Linked DNA regions of Drosophila melanogaster. The protein of the gene in region 1 purifies or fractionates together with the protein of each later gene. This does not show direct contact. Each region holds a gene or a part of one and is shown in the gene's direction. Other genes may lie near its edges.

Region 1 (3,156 bases):
CCCTGGAGGACATGAAGGTGGTGGATCTCTAAGATTTCATAGCCAATTCCATATTATTTGTCTAACTATTGTAACAAAATATTCTGCGATATAAACTTTGTGTGCATAACTATTTAATCGGCTGAAAGGCGGATAACACCGCTTCCACAATTGTGGGTACCTCCGCCATGGCGCCGTTGCCAGTATCACCGCACATCAGAGTCTTGGATATGCAGGGTATCTCCTTGTAGCCCCAACTGGTCAGCTTGTCGATCTGCTCCCGAGTTATTGGATGGTCGTACATACGGGTATTCATCGCAGGTGCAAAGAGCAGCGGCTTCTCAAGGTCCCAGGCCCGCACCACACACATGACGATATTATCGCAAATCCCCTGTCATAAAAAAGATACTGAAATAATGTTCTGGGTAAAATGTCGACCCAAACTTACGGTGGCCATTTTGGACAGAGAGTTTGCGCTGAGTGGGGCTATTACCAACAAATCCGCCCACTTGCCTAGATCTATGTGGAGTACAGGATCTCCTCGCTTGTTCCAGGTGATCCACTCGTCGCGATTGTGGTAAATGGGTACTACAATATATGCAATAGTTTGTTAGTTAAAGTTAACAAATACCCGAAGATTTAGACAACCTACCATTTTCGGGAATCTGCTCCAGTTCAAAGAAGTGTTTGGCTGCTTCGGTAATAAGTACTTTCAGGTGGAACTTAAAGGGTAGGCGCTCGTCGGAGAGCTCTCGGATTAACTGGGCTAACTTAATGGTGGCCACACTTCCGGTGGCCGCTATCATCACATTACGTTCGGGTTTCATGGCTCACAATGCCGGCTATTGCTTCTGCACCTCCGGTTCTTTTTGATCGGTCTTGGTACTCTGGTCGTGAAAGCCCAACTTGGACCACTCGGTTTTCTCCATAAGATTGTTGTCCATGCGACAGGCCAGGTAGTTCTGGGCGTCCTGGCGGCACTGGCTCGTATCCTGGGCGTTCTTGCGCAGACAACTGGCGTAGAGGAGGAATTGCTTCTTGCAGAGACCTTCGTGGTCCAGGGGAAAGGAACCCTTCTCGGGCGGCGTGGGCACGAACTTCTTCTGGCTGTAGATCTGCGAAGTCATTTGTGAGTTGCTCTGCTCGCTCCTTATCTTAATTCATTGATAAAATATGACTTAAAATTACGAAATAATTGTGTAAACAGCAAGTCAGTGTGACCAGAGAATGTTGGGAACCACAAGTTGAAAAACATTCGGAGTTACAAAGGTCACTTTCAAATCTTATATGAACTTAAATATTGAGAATCTTATAAGATAAAAAAATGAATAAGGTTTCAAGTATGAAATTCAAAATCTTAAATATGCTAAAGCAATAAATACTCACAATGTTGCTAACATATTTATCACTGATACTGATAATTAACATGTAGCATTTAAAATTTGCAATTTTTAAATTATATTAAAGCCATTGACAAACATATAAAGTAATTTGGCTGATTAAGTGATAAATAAGTACAGTTCCAGAAAACAAATCAACCTAGCAATACAGATTCACTCTGATTCCGAACCAACTCAAATCACAGTTTCCCAATACAGTGACTTCGATTGAAAGGAATAACCCTATGTGACAGCTGTCACACGTGCCAGTGATAAAAAATCCCGCACACCTTCCAACGGAACGCGTTAGTGTGTCGTTTTTTCGTAGCAGGCTATGTCGTTGGGCAACGCAGGGCGAATCGCTGTCTGTTGGTTTGTAGAAAAATCGTTTTTAGTTACACACACTTAGCTTTACTACATGGTGTTTGAAAATCCCGAAACAGGACTGTTTTGACCGTGGGTGGCGTCTACGCATTTGTGCTGTCAAAGAGATCCGTTGAGAACCGGCGTTACGAGAGCATGCGAGTGCGTGAGCGCATGAGGAAGGCAAACCAAGGGGATTACGACTCAAGCGCAGCATCGGACAGGCGATTCGATTACTAAGCGGCAGCATCCAGTACCTAAAACCCATCAGTAACACACCCACACCCACACAATGGCATTGCCCCAGATCAGCACCGCAGACCAGGCCAAGCTGCAGCTGATGCAGGAAATGGAGATCGAAATGATGTCCGATTTATATAACCGCATGACGAACGCTTGCCACAAAAAGTGCATTCCGCCGCGCTACTCCGAGTCGGAGTTGGGTGAGTACCATAGCCATATAGAATGCTGTATCTAGTTCGCAGCTCTTTCTATGACAATCACTTCAGGTTTCTCTTTGATTCGATTGATGAAATTTAAATAGAAATCTTGAAACTTGTACCACAATTCTACACTTGTAATTTTAATGCTTTCCGCACCCTACAGGCAAAGGCGAGATGGTGTGCATCGATCGCTGTGTGGCCAAATATCTGGACATTCACGAGAAGATCGGCAAGAAGCTGACGGCCATGTCCATGCAGGACGAGGAGCTGATGAAGAAGATGTCTAGTTAACCTGGCACCCATTAACCCACATTTCCGCTTAACCAATGTGCATTTTTGAAGCGCTACGATTGTTAGAGGTACATGTACAAAACACCCCGTTGTAGAGAATAAACCACAGATTTATGTGTGCTACATAATATCAGACCTCGTTGACACAGATTAATGCATTCAAAAGGTGGTGACAAAGCGCGACATTTCCGGCAGCATGACACTCAGATCCTCGATGTTGTTCTCCAGCGCACTCTCGTCCGTTGTGTCCAGTTCGCTGGTCCGCACGCTGTTCGCCCAGTCGGAGGAGTCTAGATCCTGTCCTGCTCCTCGCGCCTGATCCTCCTGCTGTTCCTGGGCGTTGAGGCTAGCTCGACTGGCGAGACCATCGCAAATATTGGCGGGATCTGACGGCAGCTCCACATAAAGGTTCGTCTGGCGCTGTAAAATTCAGAGAAATTCAACAAAAAGAAACACAAAGGTTAATTTGGAGCTTCACCAAAGCCATTAGCTGTAGATCGCGGTGCAGGCTGATGGGATTCTTGGACAGGTTGAGCATGTGAAGAGTCCGCAACTCCTCCAGTTGTGACCGCGTGGGCATCTCGTCAATACAATTTTCGTTGAGAAAAGCAAACCGCAGCTTCTGCATGGCCATCAGCATCCTGGGCAGCCGTCGCAATCGATTCCCCTTAAGATTCAGATGCACCAAATTTCCCAGCAAC
Region 2 (3,502 bases), on another chromosome or scaffold:
CACTGGTTTGGATATCAGCTTCATCTGTGACGATTTGCTTAGAATGAACAATGAGCTGTCCAGAAAAAAACCACGCTATTTTGCAAACTGCAAAGAGCACAGAATGAAAATGCGAATAGGCAAAGCTTTGCTCGACCTAAGCGACAGATGGAAGTGGTCGGACAACCTGTGGGAAGCCGTCTTGTGCCCTAGCGATCAGCCTAACATTAGCTTTATGTACGAGTACCTTGTCTCCAAAATGCTGCCAAGCATCGATCTATTGCTGGAGCAGTTAAAGCTACTGGCAACTCTAAAACCGAGCCAGCAAATTTCGCTTGTCTCTGTAGTCCACATATACTGCTTGACTCGCTGGGAAAGCATACAACATGAACAGCTTGTCGAAGTATTTGCCGTCCTGTTGCCTCTCACAATGGGAGCAAATTTTCAGACTCGTTTGCTGGCCCAATTGGTTTTGCATCGGATTTGTAGCGAGTGCGAGGATCGAAGGTAATGAAATTAGTATTATATACTACTTGTTGCCGAATTTTATTAATATTTTGATATTTTTAGCATTCAAATGCCAATAGCTGATGCATTGAAGAAATCCATCAAGGTTACATTGAGCGAAAAATTAACTGAGTTTCAGTGCGAAGCTCGACTTTTGTTACCAGAACTAGGCAAACAATGCCCGACATCCGTTTCGGATTGCATTCTGATGATGACGAATGCACCATTTGATGAAAACATCAGTTTTATTAGTTGTTCCTATGACTTTCGAATGAAACTAAAGCGCGCCCTTGAAACGTTTAAACGGAAACAATCGGTTTTGATACCTGAGCTTGCAACGTCCTTGGCTGCATTAAACGGAAATGTGCAGCGAAAAATGAATCCCGTCGGAGATATATATCCGGAGAGTGACTTTGTTGTTTCGAACAAAGCTAGAGATGACCACGAACTCATTGTGGTGGCCTCGCTCATAGACAAATTGCCAAATCTGGGCGGATTGGCGCGTACCTGTGAAGTTCTGGGCGTTAATACCCTAATATTGGGTTTAAAATCACAGGCGGAGAAAAGCGATTTTACAAACTTGAGGTATGCACGTCAAACATCGCGGTAGCCCTATTATATTGCTTTATATAATTATAATTATATTATTTTAGCATGACTGCTGAGAAAACTTTAAACATACTTGAAGTGAATCCAGAATCGCTTGCTGGATTTCTGCTGGAAAAGCAAATGGAGGGTTATAAAATCGTTGGCGCCGAGCAAACTGCACACAGCACAAACTTTGTTGACTTTAAGTTTCCCAAGAAAAGCATTCTTCTTTTGGGGTTCGTAATCAACATCTTGGGCGTATTTTTTGAAAACTTATTGTTCTGCATCCCTCCTCAGGCATGAAAAACATGGAATACCAGCGAACCTTATTGGATTCTTGGACTACGCCGTCGAAATTCCCCAGTATGGCTTAGTGCGCTCTCTAAATGTACATGTGGCTGGATCACTATTTATTTGGGAATATTGTAAGCAGCACTTAAATTAAATTCATAATTTGACCACCAACAAATGCCTTTAACAAATAAAGTAAATACCTAAAAATATTGTACAAATGTTACTATATAAATGTTTTGTGTTGTATATATCTTAAAAAAAATACACCCAAAATAAATTACCTATATAAACTTAATTGTACTAGCTATTAGTATTATTTCTATTTTTTTAAATGTGTTTGTTTGCCTTCGGTGAATTAATCGAAGTAAATATAATTCATTCTCTTAAAGTTTCGCGCCTTGTTATCGATAACCAGTATTTACCGATGACGCTTGCCTGAAACAGCTGATCCTATAATCACAACATCACAACAAACCCATTGTAAACAACTTCGAAAAGACGAAAATGAGCTTCTCGGAAAACACCTCCGATTCTGAATGGTAAGTCCTTGAGGCCGGAAACTCTCAAATTCTATACGAATGCTTCGCTTATAGGAAGACAGACAAAATGCTAAAGGCGCGGACTGCTAAGAAATCTTTAAAGCTGGACAAGGAGCACAGAACTCTGAAACCTAAATATAACCAGAAGTTCTGCGAAAAGTGGCTCAAGATTTTCGATCCATGGCTCCGACGGGCGGCCGAGGATCCTAACAAGCCATTCTGCCGCGCTTGCCAGTGCACCATGGACTGCAATCGATGCCACCTGGTGCGGCACGAGCGAACCACCAAGCACAAGCGCAATCTGGAGGCTCTGCTCACAAAGGGCGAAGGCGCGGCGGTCCAGGAGTTCCGGATTCGCCAGCAGCGTAGCAAGTACTATCACCAGCGTAAATTGGTAGTGATGGAGCCCTTGGCTGAGAACCACGAGTTGGAGCCGCCTTCCACTCCAGAGCCTATGCCCGTGATGGCCATTGCTGATCAAAGCCTCTGTTCTGCAGCCAGTGAGAAGGTGACAGTACCCAAACAGGAGTTCTTATCAGAGACAGAGGTCACAACAAAGATGACCGAACCCCCGTCAAGCCATGCCAATTGCAGTGACAGCTCCTCTTCTGCCTCTAAGCAGGAGGGCATAAAGTTACTAATGCAGATCCACCAGGACAAAAACGAACTCATGGAATCCTTCCGCGAGCTGATGGGAAGCCAGAGGACCCTAAGTCACACACCGCCGCCCAAGGAGAAGAATCATGTGGATCTGTTTTTCGAAAGCGTCAGTTCCAGCGTGAAAGCCCTCTCGCCAAAGTTGGTAGCGGAAGCCAAGATGCGAGTATCGCAGCTGATCTGTGAGCTCGAGCTTCGCGGCCTCAGTGAAACCAGCCAAACGGACGCACTGAATCCAAACCCTCAAGCTAATGAATCGCTCGCACTGCGCCCATCATGACAATCCCTTGTCCTTCAGCATGAATTTAGAGGCATACATTAATTTTAAATTTAAAAATAAATGTTATCGATTTTTATAAGATCAATGCAAATATACTTTATTTGTTAGATATACGAATCAAACTATTCAAAATAGGTGCGAGAAATGGTATCGGACTGTTTATCGATAGGCTAGAGGCTACTGCTACTGCCATCTCCAAAGCGCGGCTGTGTTTTCTTCCAATGTTTATTAAATTTGAAGCAGCTAATGCAATTTAAAGGCTTAAGTGACAAAATATTCATAACATAAGAATGTGGAACACTTCAAATGTGTATGATGAAACGACCTCTGAAAATGGCGACAACGAAGAGCAGAAAGCTTCATACATTAAAGAAGATCATATAGAGGTATAATTACTAAGTTGCCCTTAAATTTACAAATATTTAAACGAAATTATGCATTTGCAGACCGAGAGGAAAAGTTTGCTACTCATCAAACGGAACAACGTAGCCCTACAGAAAAGACAGCTACCCTACTCAAGGCCAACGCCGCAGAACCGCCAGGAACTTGTCGAGAGCATCGAACAAGACCGTAAAGTGCTGTCGGCGTACTTCAAAAGGTTGAGCTCCCAGCGAGATGAAGTCACTTCACCAAATGCAGCTCCACCGGCGGCTGATTC
Region 3 (3,719 bases), 3.2 Mb from region 1:
AATATTTATGAAAGGACAGTGTGATCCTCTGAGCTGGATACCAGCCGGATCCTGTAGGCCGCACATGCCGTTATGGCCAATTGCGGTCCTTGACTCCTTTGCAAATTTCCTAGGGCCAGAAACCTGATCATCAAGTTGGTAACCAACGCTAGGGTCATGCCAAACGTGTCTTTGCTAAAATGGAATGGTTAATCTGGTCAAGTCTTAAATACCAATGTATCACTATGAGGACTGCTATACCTTTATATTACATATTTTTCAAATAAAATTCAAGTTCTTATGGAACTTATTCAAACATTTGTTCTCAAGCTTTACTTTAGCCTGATCGCAAGCTATTCCAAGTTTGGAAAAAAATTTTGTGCACTCAGCCACTTGATCCTAACCACAGAGACCGACGGACAGTAAGAAAAATGGCGAGGTTGCAGTGCGATGATGGAAAGGATGTGGCGGTGGGGCAGGAAAAGGAGCTGATGGGTATGGATACTTTGAATGCGGGCAAGAGAGAGATGTTCATCGGAACGCATGTTCTTTGAAAATTGCCCATAATTATGCGAACGAACTTCAAACTGATTGTTTCTACCGGCAGCAGCGCAGTCCGAGAAACGAGAATCCAGAGCCGAGGATCGGAACCCATCTCCATCCCATAGCTCCATGGACCATGGACCACGCTGTCCGAAAAACGCGCGTCCGTTGCATGCAACGTGGCAGGGATGGGATGGAATGGGATGGGATGGGATCGAGATCGGGACATGGCCAAGGGTATGGCTGTGTGGAATAGCCCGCTTGGCTGCAGTGAAAGAGAATGACTGTAATTACGCATCACTTTTTCTTAATTTTCATGCTGTGCATCTTGCGGCCCTTCCTCCTCGCAAACGGAGCGGATTGGAGTGGTGGTGAACAACGAGGACGAGGGCCGGAAGGGGTCCTCCATCTTCTCGCTGGGAACAATTTAAGCACTGAACTTGACCCACAAGTCGAGTCTGCTGCTTTTTGTGCGGCAGAGTTTTAGAAAATTGCTCGTTTCGTTGCGTGCATATTTCCCAAAATGCGAGCGGCTTGAAATCATTTTGCGTGTTGTTTTGTCCGCTGTCTGTTTTCTGCTTGTTCCTCCAATGAGAAATCTAATTTAAAAGATACAAATTTTAAATTATGGGGTTTTCTTGGCTACCAAAAATGTTTCGATGTTTTTTCTTCGCTTTACCTTCCTCTTCTTCACATATGATTGCTTCTACGTGCCGAAGACTCGCATTTTGGCATTTTGGATGCGATGGCAGATACGCAATTTCGTTGCGGAAATGCCGAATGTCAAGAGTGGTTGCATAACAGCTTCAAACACAGAAAGGCTAGGAATAATAAGGGTCTCATGACAGAGGGGTATTTTTTACACACAGTATTTATTGGTAACCAGATTCAAATTGAAAACATTCGCGCGCCTTTTTTGCACCCACTCGCGGTATCGATATATCGGTTTGCACACATCACTACTGTGCTAAGGTAAACAACATATAAAATATACATTATATCGAGGTTTGAAAATTCCTTTACTTATTTTGTTACACAATGAAGATTATTCAGTATTTATTTGATTTATTTTAAGTTCTACGTTATGATCTTTGTTCTACCAGTAATAAAATACATTTTACATCGTAATTACGGCAGAAGAACTTAGTACCTTTTCCAGCACTGCAGCCAGAGTTGGTTTCTTAATGGAGTCCGATAGGTTCAATAACACATCCATACATCGATAACAATTTTATTTTTTGTTTTGCTAATGTGATTTACAAAATAGTTGTTTTAATTGAGAATTGTCGGCAGATTATGGAGTTTGATTTGTAAATAGCATGATTTTGATGTAACTTCTGACATGGACACCGCCGGAGACATGGATCACCTGGCCAGTGTGTCCTTCGGCGACTTTGAGACAAAATCCCCAGAGGGCGACGTATCCTGCTATCAGAACTTTCGGGCACAGACGGAACATGTTTCGCTAGACATTTCTCTCGGGCAGAAGTCAGACACTCTATTTGCCGCCGACCAAACGCCCACGCCTACGCGACTCATCAAGAACTGCGACGAGGTGGGTCTCTTCGAGGACCTGCAGCACGTAAATCCATTTGACATTGGATTCCAGCAAGCAGCGGAGCGAAATGTCAGCGGCACTCCGAGTCGCCCAGAGGCTCGACCCAATGACGGTGAGTCCCTGCACACGCCCCAGGTGTATCCCGTCGAGGCCCCCACCGTGGTATCAGTTCCGTCTGAAAATCAGGTCCCACAAAGTGTCAGCTGCGGCGATATGGATGTGGACCAGCTTCTGGCCACGACAGTTACCTCGCCTTCCAAAGCCAGTCAAGATGGTCCGCCGCCGCTGCAGTTGATCCAGCCCCAGGTCCTAACATGGGTGCTGCCTGCGCAGTCAGTTCCCATTTCCATCGCTACAGTTGATTGTAACAGAAACAGGGTGAAGCCGACTGGTGCCATTCATCCCTTCATACTGCCGAAACCCACTGCGAAAGAATTAAACAAGACCAGTAAAAGACCCGAGCCTATTTTGGTCAGTTGCAACCCACCTAATAACGAGCCCAGTAGCGCCAGTCTGACGCCCACCTCACAGCTGCCCATCAAGGAGCGATTGAAGGCCATTATCCACAGCAATAATAACAGACGAAGTTTCTCCACACCGCCCAAGGCTGCGAAAGCAAAGGATCGCAGTCGGGACGAGGATTGTATGGAGCGACGAAGAGCAGCAGCCTCTCGTTACCGTAACAAGATGCGAAACGAGCATAAGGACCTCATCAAACAGAACGCCCAGCTGCAGCAGGAGAATCAAGAACTGCACGAAAGAATTTCCAGATTAGAAAAGGAACTGCAGCAGCACAGGAGTCACAGCAGCTTAGCTGGCGGTAAGCTTTAATAAACCATTCCTGAAGTTAAGTTAATTTATTTTCGTTTATAGTGGTGGCCGACCAGCTGCGGATTCCACCATCCAGTATACACTTGCTCATCAATGTGCCCAACGTGTTAGTGCCTTCGTCCGCCAGCAACGCAAGCGCGGCCAAGAAATAACCAATATGCCTTGTTTATTTATTTTCTAGTGCCATGTACATAATCCTAGCCTTGTAGTTTATTCGTACAAAAAAGCCTCAGTTAAGTTAAATTCCTTCTGTACTCCAATGTTTTGTCTGTGGTTATGATTTCCGTAAACTCTCTCTGTATCTCAAAAATGGAATTCTCGATATCCACCAGCTGGGGACTAAATTGCACAGATGATGTTGCTGGAGTTCGCAGCTGTTCCATGGTCATCTGTTCGGAAGAAAGTAGACTTAGGAGATCACAGAATACAATCTAAAATCTTTTATCACATACATCACGCAAGTTTTTCTGCAGCTGATCACGCTGATAGCAAAGTTTCTGGATTTTGTCGTAATACTTCTGTGCCAGTGGAGCACCCTCCGTATCCGAGTAGTAGCGCTGGGCAAGGAGCTCCATCTCCTGGTTACGAATTTCATCTTCGGCCAGCTGCATTTCTTGGTTGTGACGCCGACGCTCACGCTCAATACTGTGCATCAGCAGGTCCATGTCCTTCTCCATCTCCAGAATTTTGCGTCGCTGCTCAGACTCCTGTAACTTAGTGATGACCTCGCTCTTGCGCCGACGCACCTCCATTTGGTAGGTGAGCAGCATTTTCCGTTGGCAGGTGATGCGCTCTTCCTCGCGATGGA
Region 4 (3,999 bases), on another chromosome or scaffold:
TACTCCCATGATATATCGCCGCATTTACCTCGTTTGGGTTTCGGAAAGGATTCGTGCAGCACAAAGACCACCTTCTCCACAAAAGCACTGATGTCCGCCTTGTTCACGCCCTGAACGTAGATCTCCCAGTCGTGCGTAAAGGCCTGCGGATGCGGTGTCTTCTTGCTGCGCAGCTTCGACGTGTGGCCAATTTCGAATTGCACCTTGACCGCCATGCCTGTGGGTAGGGCATCAAGTTCCAGTGATTGCCTGCAATTAAGTGGTGAATTAAGATGCTACGTATTAGCGCGCCAAAACCAATGCAACTCGAGTGTGCAAGCACTTAAGCTTGATGCGACGTAAACAAATGATCGCCAGTTATGTGGAAAGGCCCAATGGATTGCCAAACGAGGTGTTAGCCAAGTATTGCGCTCCTTGCTTTCGCTTCAGTGTGCATGCGTGATTTCTAATGCGAATCCTGTGGCAGGTCACGTCCTCCAAGTCTGCGCCTGGCTTTGGAAACCTTTCAATCGGTCTCAGGATGCCCGCACTAGCTACCACATTTTGAATATCCTTTGATAACCGACGTTTTTTGTTATGATTCGCTTTGCGTTCAATTTGTTATTGTTTGTGAGCGAATGTGTGCCACAATGTGGACTTTTCATGTTGCAAGCTTTCGCCGTGTTTGTGGTTTCCTTTAGCCACATGCCCCCACCAGCCACGCTTTATACTTACTATCGCGCCGTGCGGCATTCACATGGAGATGCGCACAATTTTCAGAAAAAACGTAAAAGCTTGGAGCCAGAATCGAAGTAAATTTTGGAAAAACACAGAAAATAAAATCCAAAATGGTAAAGTGTGACCAAAGTTCGGGGCACCAAAAAATACACTTGAGTCGGGTAAAATATACTAGAATATGCGTTGCGTTTACTTTTTCTAGGGTGGCTCGTGAAATTAGTTTTAAATATGTACATATATCTAGTTTAAATTCATTCAGATTTTTAACTCGATGCATTTTTTAAAGAATAGAGTGCTTTATTTGTTTCTTAGTAGAAAAAGTATAGTTTCTTGCCACATGGTCCTTGGGGCCCATTTCCGCACGGAACTGGGGATGGTGCCGCCGAAGTGGTTGAAGTATCAGAGGAGGCTTCCGTCGTGGTTGTCGAGGTGGAGGATGCAGCGAATCCAACGATGGCGCACAGAAGGAACAGAATGGCGAAGAACTTCATCTTGATTACTCTTTTGTGACTGTGATATTTTCCCGGGGATAGTTGCTCAATTTTATACCTTTCATTTTTAGATTTGCAAATATTGACACAAATGCTTCAATTCCGCCTATGTACCAAATATCAAGAGAAAAGAAACAATTCGGCAAACACTGCGTGGTACTTAAATAATGTGTTTTGTGTTTGTTTAGAAATAGCAACACATGGAATTTCGCTTTTTGCCACTTACAGGTTAAGCTTTTAAGCATAGCACGCGGATTCAGACAAGATGATATATATATGGGAAATTTTTATATTGCATGATCATTGTTTTTAAGGAACCCGCATAAACCAAAATAGTCAGCAAAAGCTTCTGTGATCCGGAACCAGTTCGGCCGCCTGTTTGGTTCACAGCACTTAAAAGAACACTTGGGAAAAACAATAAAAATATTTCGCAAAAGTTATGGCGAACGCTGGATAAGTCAGCCAAAAATTGAATCCATCGGAGCGACTGCCTTGGAGCCACAGCCCACCCATGATGACGACCGACTTCGCGGGCAGCCAGTTCGTGTCCAGCAATCCCAACACCAGCTGTAGTGCATCCCGCTGGCTAACGGAGGAGGTATTTGCATGGATATGCAATTTGAAAATGATTTGATTCACATATTTCTGTTGTTCTGTAGGTCTTTAAACTAATCGAAATTGTGCAGCGCGACGAGGCCATCTACAATCCGAGGCACAAATACTACTTTTGCCGCCCGTACGTGGAGAACTTTTGGCGCGAGGTGGATTTGAAGCTGGAAAAGAATCCGGGCGCCAGTCTGGCCAAGTGGACCAATTTGCGCATCTCGTTCCGACGAGAGTACACCAACTATCTGGAGGAAAAGGTGCCACCCTGCTGGTCCTACTTCGACCGCATGTTCTTTCTGCATCCGTATCTACGCAAGAAGCACCAGCAGCCCAAATCGCTGGACACACAGGTGCAGGACGCCCTGGCACACCTCTCGAACCTTTCTAGTCGTATGCAGCGTGAGCGTTCAGTGACCATTCCGGGCAGCAGCAGTATTGGTGGCCAGCCCACGCCCTCCGCCCACCAGTCACCACCTGCACAGCAGCTGGACAACTATCTGGACTACTTTGACGAGGCGGAACACAACAACTCCGAGCTGGATGACATCATGGAGGAGGAGCAGCAGCGCAACAGTCGTTACCACGGCCAGTTGGACGGCAACGACATTAAGTCGGAGTGCGAGGAGCCGGTGGATGACTACGAACAAGAGGCGCACGAGCCCGAGGAGGATGAACAGGATGACCAGGACCTACACAAGATGGCGCCTACTTCTAGCTCTTCATCGGCGGAGGCCCAGCGTCGTTATGCCAACCAGCATTCACACGCCAGCCGAATGCTTCCGGGTCGCCTCCAAATGCGCACCTACCATGACGAGATGCGTGGCGCTATTCGTCCGCGTTCCCAGGAACTCCAAGCTCCAACTGCAGCAGTGGCCGGGGTCAACTACTCCGCACAGCCGACTGCCCATCCAAACATTTCGTTTGTGCGACCTACTTTCAGCAAGCCCGTGGATTTGGTTAGCACTACAACGCACGCCGGAGGCGGAGGAGGAGGAGGTGTTCCAGGAACTGCTGGCTTATCCGAAGCGGAACTGCCCACACCATCCACTGCGGCCGTGGCCACCCCGATGGCGCCCAGTAGTAGTGTTAGTGCCAGCAGTAGCAGTAGCTACTTGAGTCAACGGCATGGGCACAACCATATGCATGGAGGACATCCACAGGTGCCGCCGTCAGCGCTTCCTCTGCGTTTGGAAGCCAACAACGCGTCCGGCGGATCCGTGTCCAACGGCGGTGCGGAGCTGTGCGACTGCAAGACCGATCCGGATGCCATGTTTCTGATGAGCCTGCTGCCCGACATCCAAAAGCTGAACGGCCGTGATCGCGGCAAGATAAAGATAGCCTTCCAGAACATCCTGCAGGACTACCTGTATCCGGATTAGCGTTGATCTCTGTGTATACCTTCCGCTTAACGCAAACGGAACCCAGTTCCAGTATCGATTTTGTTTAATATTCTCTTTTGTATTTTCGTTGGAGAAAAAAAAAGAATCCTTTAAGCTTCGCTGTGCAAGAACAAAGTATCCTTAAAAACGTTTTGAAAACTATCCGGTATGTTTATTAATTGTATAAATATTTATAAATATTTAATGTGTAACACAAGAATAAATTCATTTGAAATTATGCGATATATGGCTAGGTAACTTGAAGTATCACATGAGGATCGGAATGGGTTGCATCCCATCCTCACTCGAACAGCTTCAGCTCGCGGGTGATCTTCTTGATCTTGTTGTCCAGCGTCTTGTCCTCGTGCTCGCAGATGTAGTAGTGCCGCGAGGTGCACTCCTGTCCGTAGTACACATAGCTGTGCTTTCCGGCATTGTAACTTAGCCGTAGGCAGCGACCCTTGCCCTCTATTTGCACCGTGTTGTTCAGCACATCCTCGCCGGTCGCCTCCTCTGCCGCCTGCTCCGAACTGTCCACCAGATTGGCGGCCGTCGAGTTCTCCCCCTTCTGGGCCATCGCAATGGATGTGAGATTCATGTTGGGATTCACCGGCTTAGCCGAATTGGACCAGATCCAGAGGAGGCCAGGATTGAGACCGCCCAGCCAGTAATCGCGACCACGATGCGTCGGCTGATTCAGCAGATAGGCCATGATCTCCTCATTCTCCGAGACCTTCTCGAACTCGGCCAGGTGGGAGTTTAGACCCTTGCAGGCAGAGTTTGCCGTCTTCCAGTTCACCTGCTGC

The links.
Region 2: the proteins of Tim10 (region 1) and CG34149 purify together in Drosophila melanogaster (affinity purification with mass spectrometry, with the first as the bait; one large-scale study listed by BioGRID). This does not show direct contact.
Region 3: the proteins of Tim10 (region 1) and Atf-2 purify together in Drosophila melanogaster (affinity purification with mass spectrometry, with the first as the bait; one large-scale study listed by BioGRID). This does not show direct contact.
Region 4: the proteins of Tim10 (region 1) and CG6276 purify together in Drosophila melanogaster (affinity purification with mass spectrometry, with the first as the bait; one large-scale study listed by BioGRID). This does not show direct contact.

Annotation. Positions count from the first base shown.
Region 1 is NT_033778.4:21,689,646-21,692,801, reverse strand, and holds Tim10 (translocase of inner membrane 10), read left to right. Parts: upstream 1-1,662; 5' UTR 1,663-1,692; coding exon of another isoform or gene 1,693-1,730; 5' UTR 1,731-1,801; coding exon of another isoform or gene 1,802-1,961; 5' UTR 1,962-2,013; coding exon 2,014-2,164; intron 2,165-2,327; coding exon 2,328-2,455; 3' UTR 2,456-2,587; downstream 2,588-3,156. Other genes in the region: CngB (cyclic nucleotide-gated ion channel subunit B), read left to right, coding at 1-32; Ppcdc (phosphopantothenoylcysteine decarboxylase), read right to left, coding at 110-370, 428-567, 632-806; CG42496 (uncharacterized protein), read right to left, coding at 822-1,106; CG42497 (uncharacterized protein), read left to right, coding at 1,693-1,730, 1,802-1,961; CG10307 (uncharacterized protein), read right to left, coding at 2,615-2,875, 2,934-3,156. UniProt on the Drosophila melanogaster protein: Mitochondrial intermembrane chaperone that participates in the import and insertion of multi-pass transmembrane proteins into the mitochondrial inner membrane.
Region 2 is NT_033777.3:22,378,295-22,381,796, forward strand, and holds CG34149 (uncharacterized protein), read left to right. Parts: upstream 1-1,833; 5' UTR 1,834-1,872; coding exon 1,873-1,907; intron 1,908-1,961; coding exon 1,962-2,844; 3' UTR 2,845-2,959; downstream 2,960-3,502. Other genes in the region: CG18596 (uncharacterized protein), read left to right, coding at 1-486, 550-1,071, 1,140-1,310, 1,372-1,519; CG43342 (uncharacterized protein), read left to right, coding at 3,135-3,230, 3,291-3,502.
Region 3 is NT_033778.4:24,868,346-24,872,064, forward strand, and holds Atf-2 (activating transcription factor-2), read left to right. Parts: upstream 1-1,762; 5' UTR 1,763-1,864; coding exon 1,865-2,900; intron 2,901-2,953; coding exon 2,954-3,063; 3' UTR 3,064-3,144; downstream 3,145-3,719. Other genes in the region: CG16896 (uncharacterized protein), read right to left, coding at 3,145-3,300, 3,364-3,719.
Region 4 is NT_033777.3:15,317,634-15,321,632, reverse strand, and holds CG6276 (uncharacterized protein), read left to right. Parts: upstream 1-1,563; 5' UTR 1,564-1,719; coding exon 1,720-1,806; intron 1,807-1,867; coding exon 1,868-3,193; 3' UTR 3,194-3,430; downstream 3,431-3,999. Other genes in the region: ear (ENL/AF9-related), read right to left, coding at 29-215; CG44040 (uncharacterized protein), read right to left, coding at 1,026-1,208; CG14866 (uncharacterized protein), read right to left, coding at 3,495-3,999.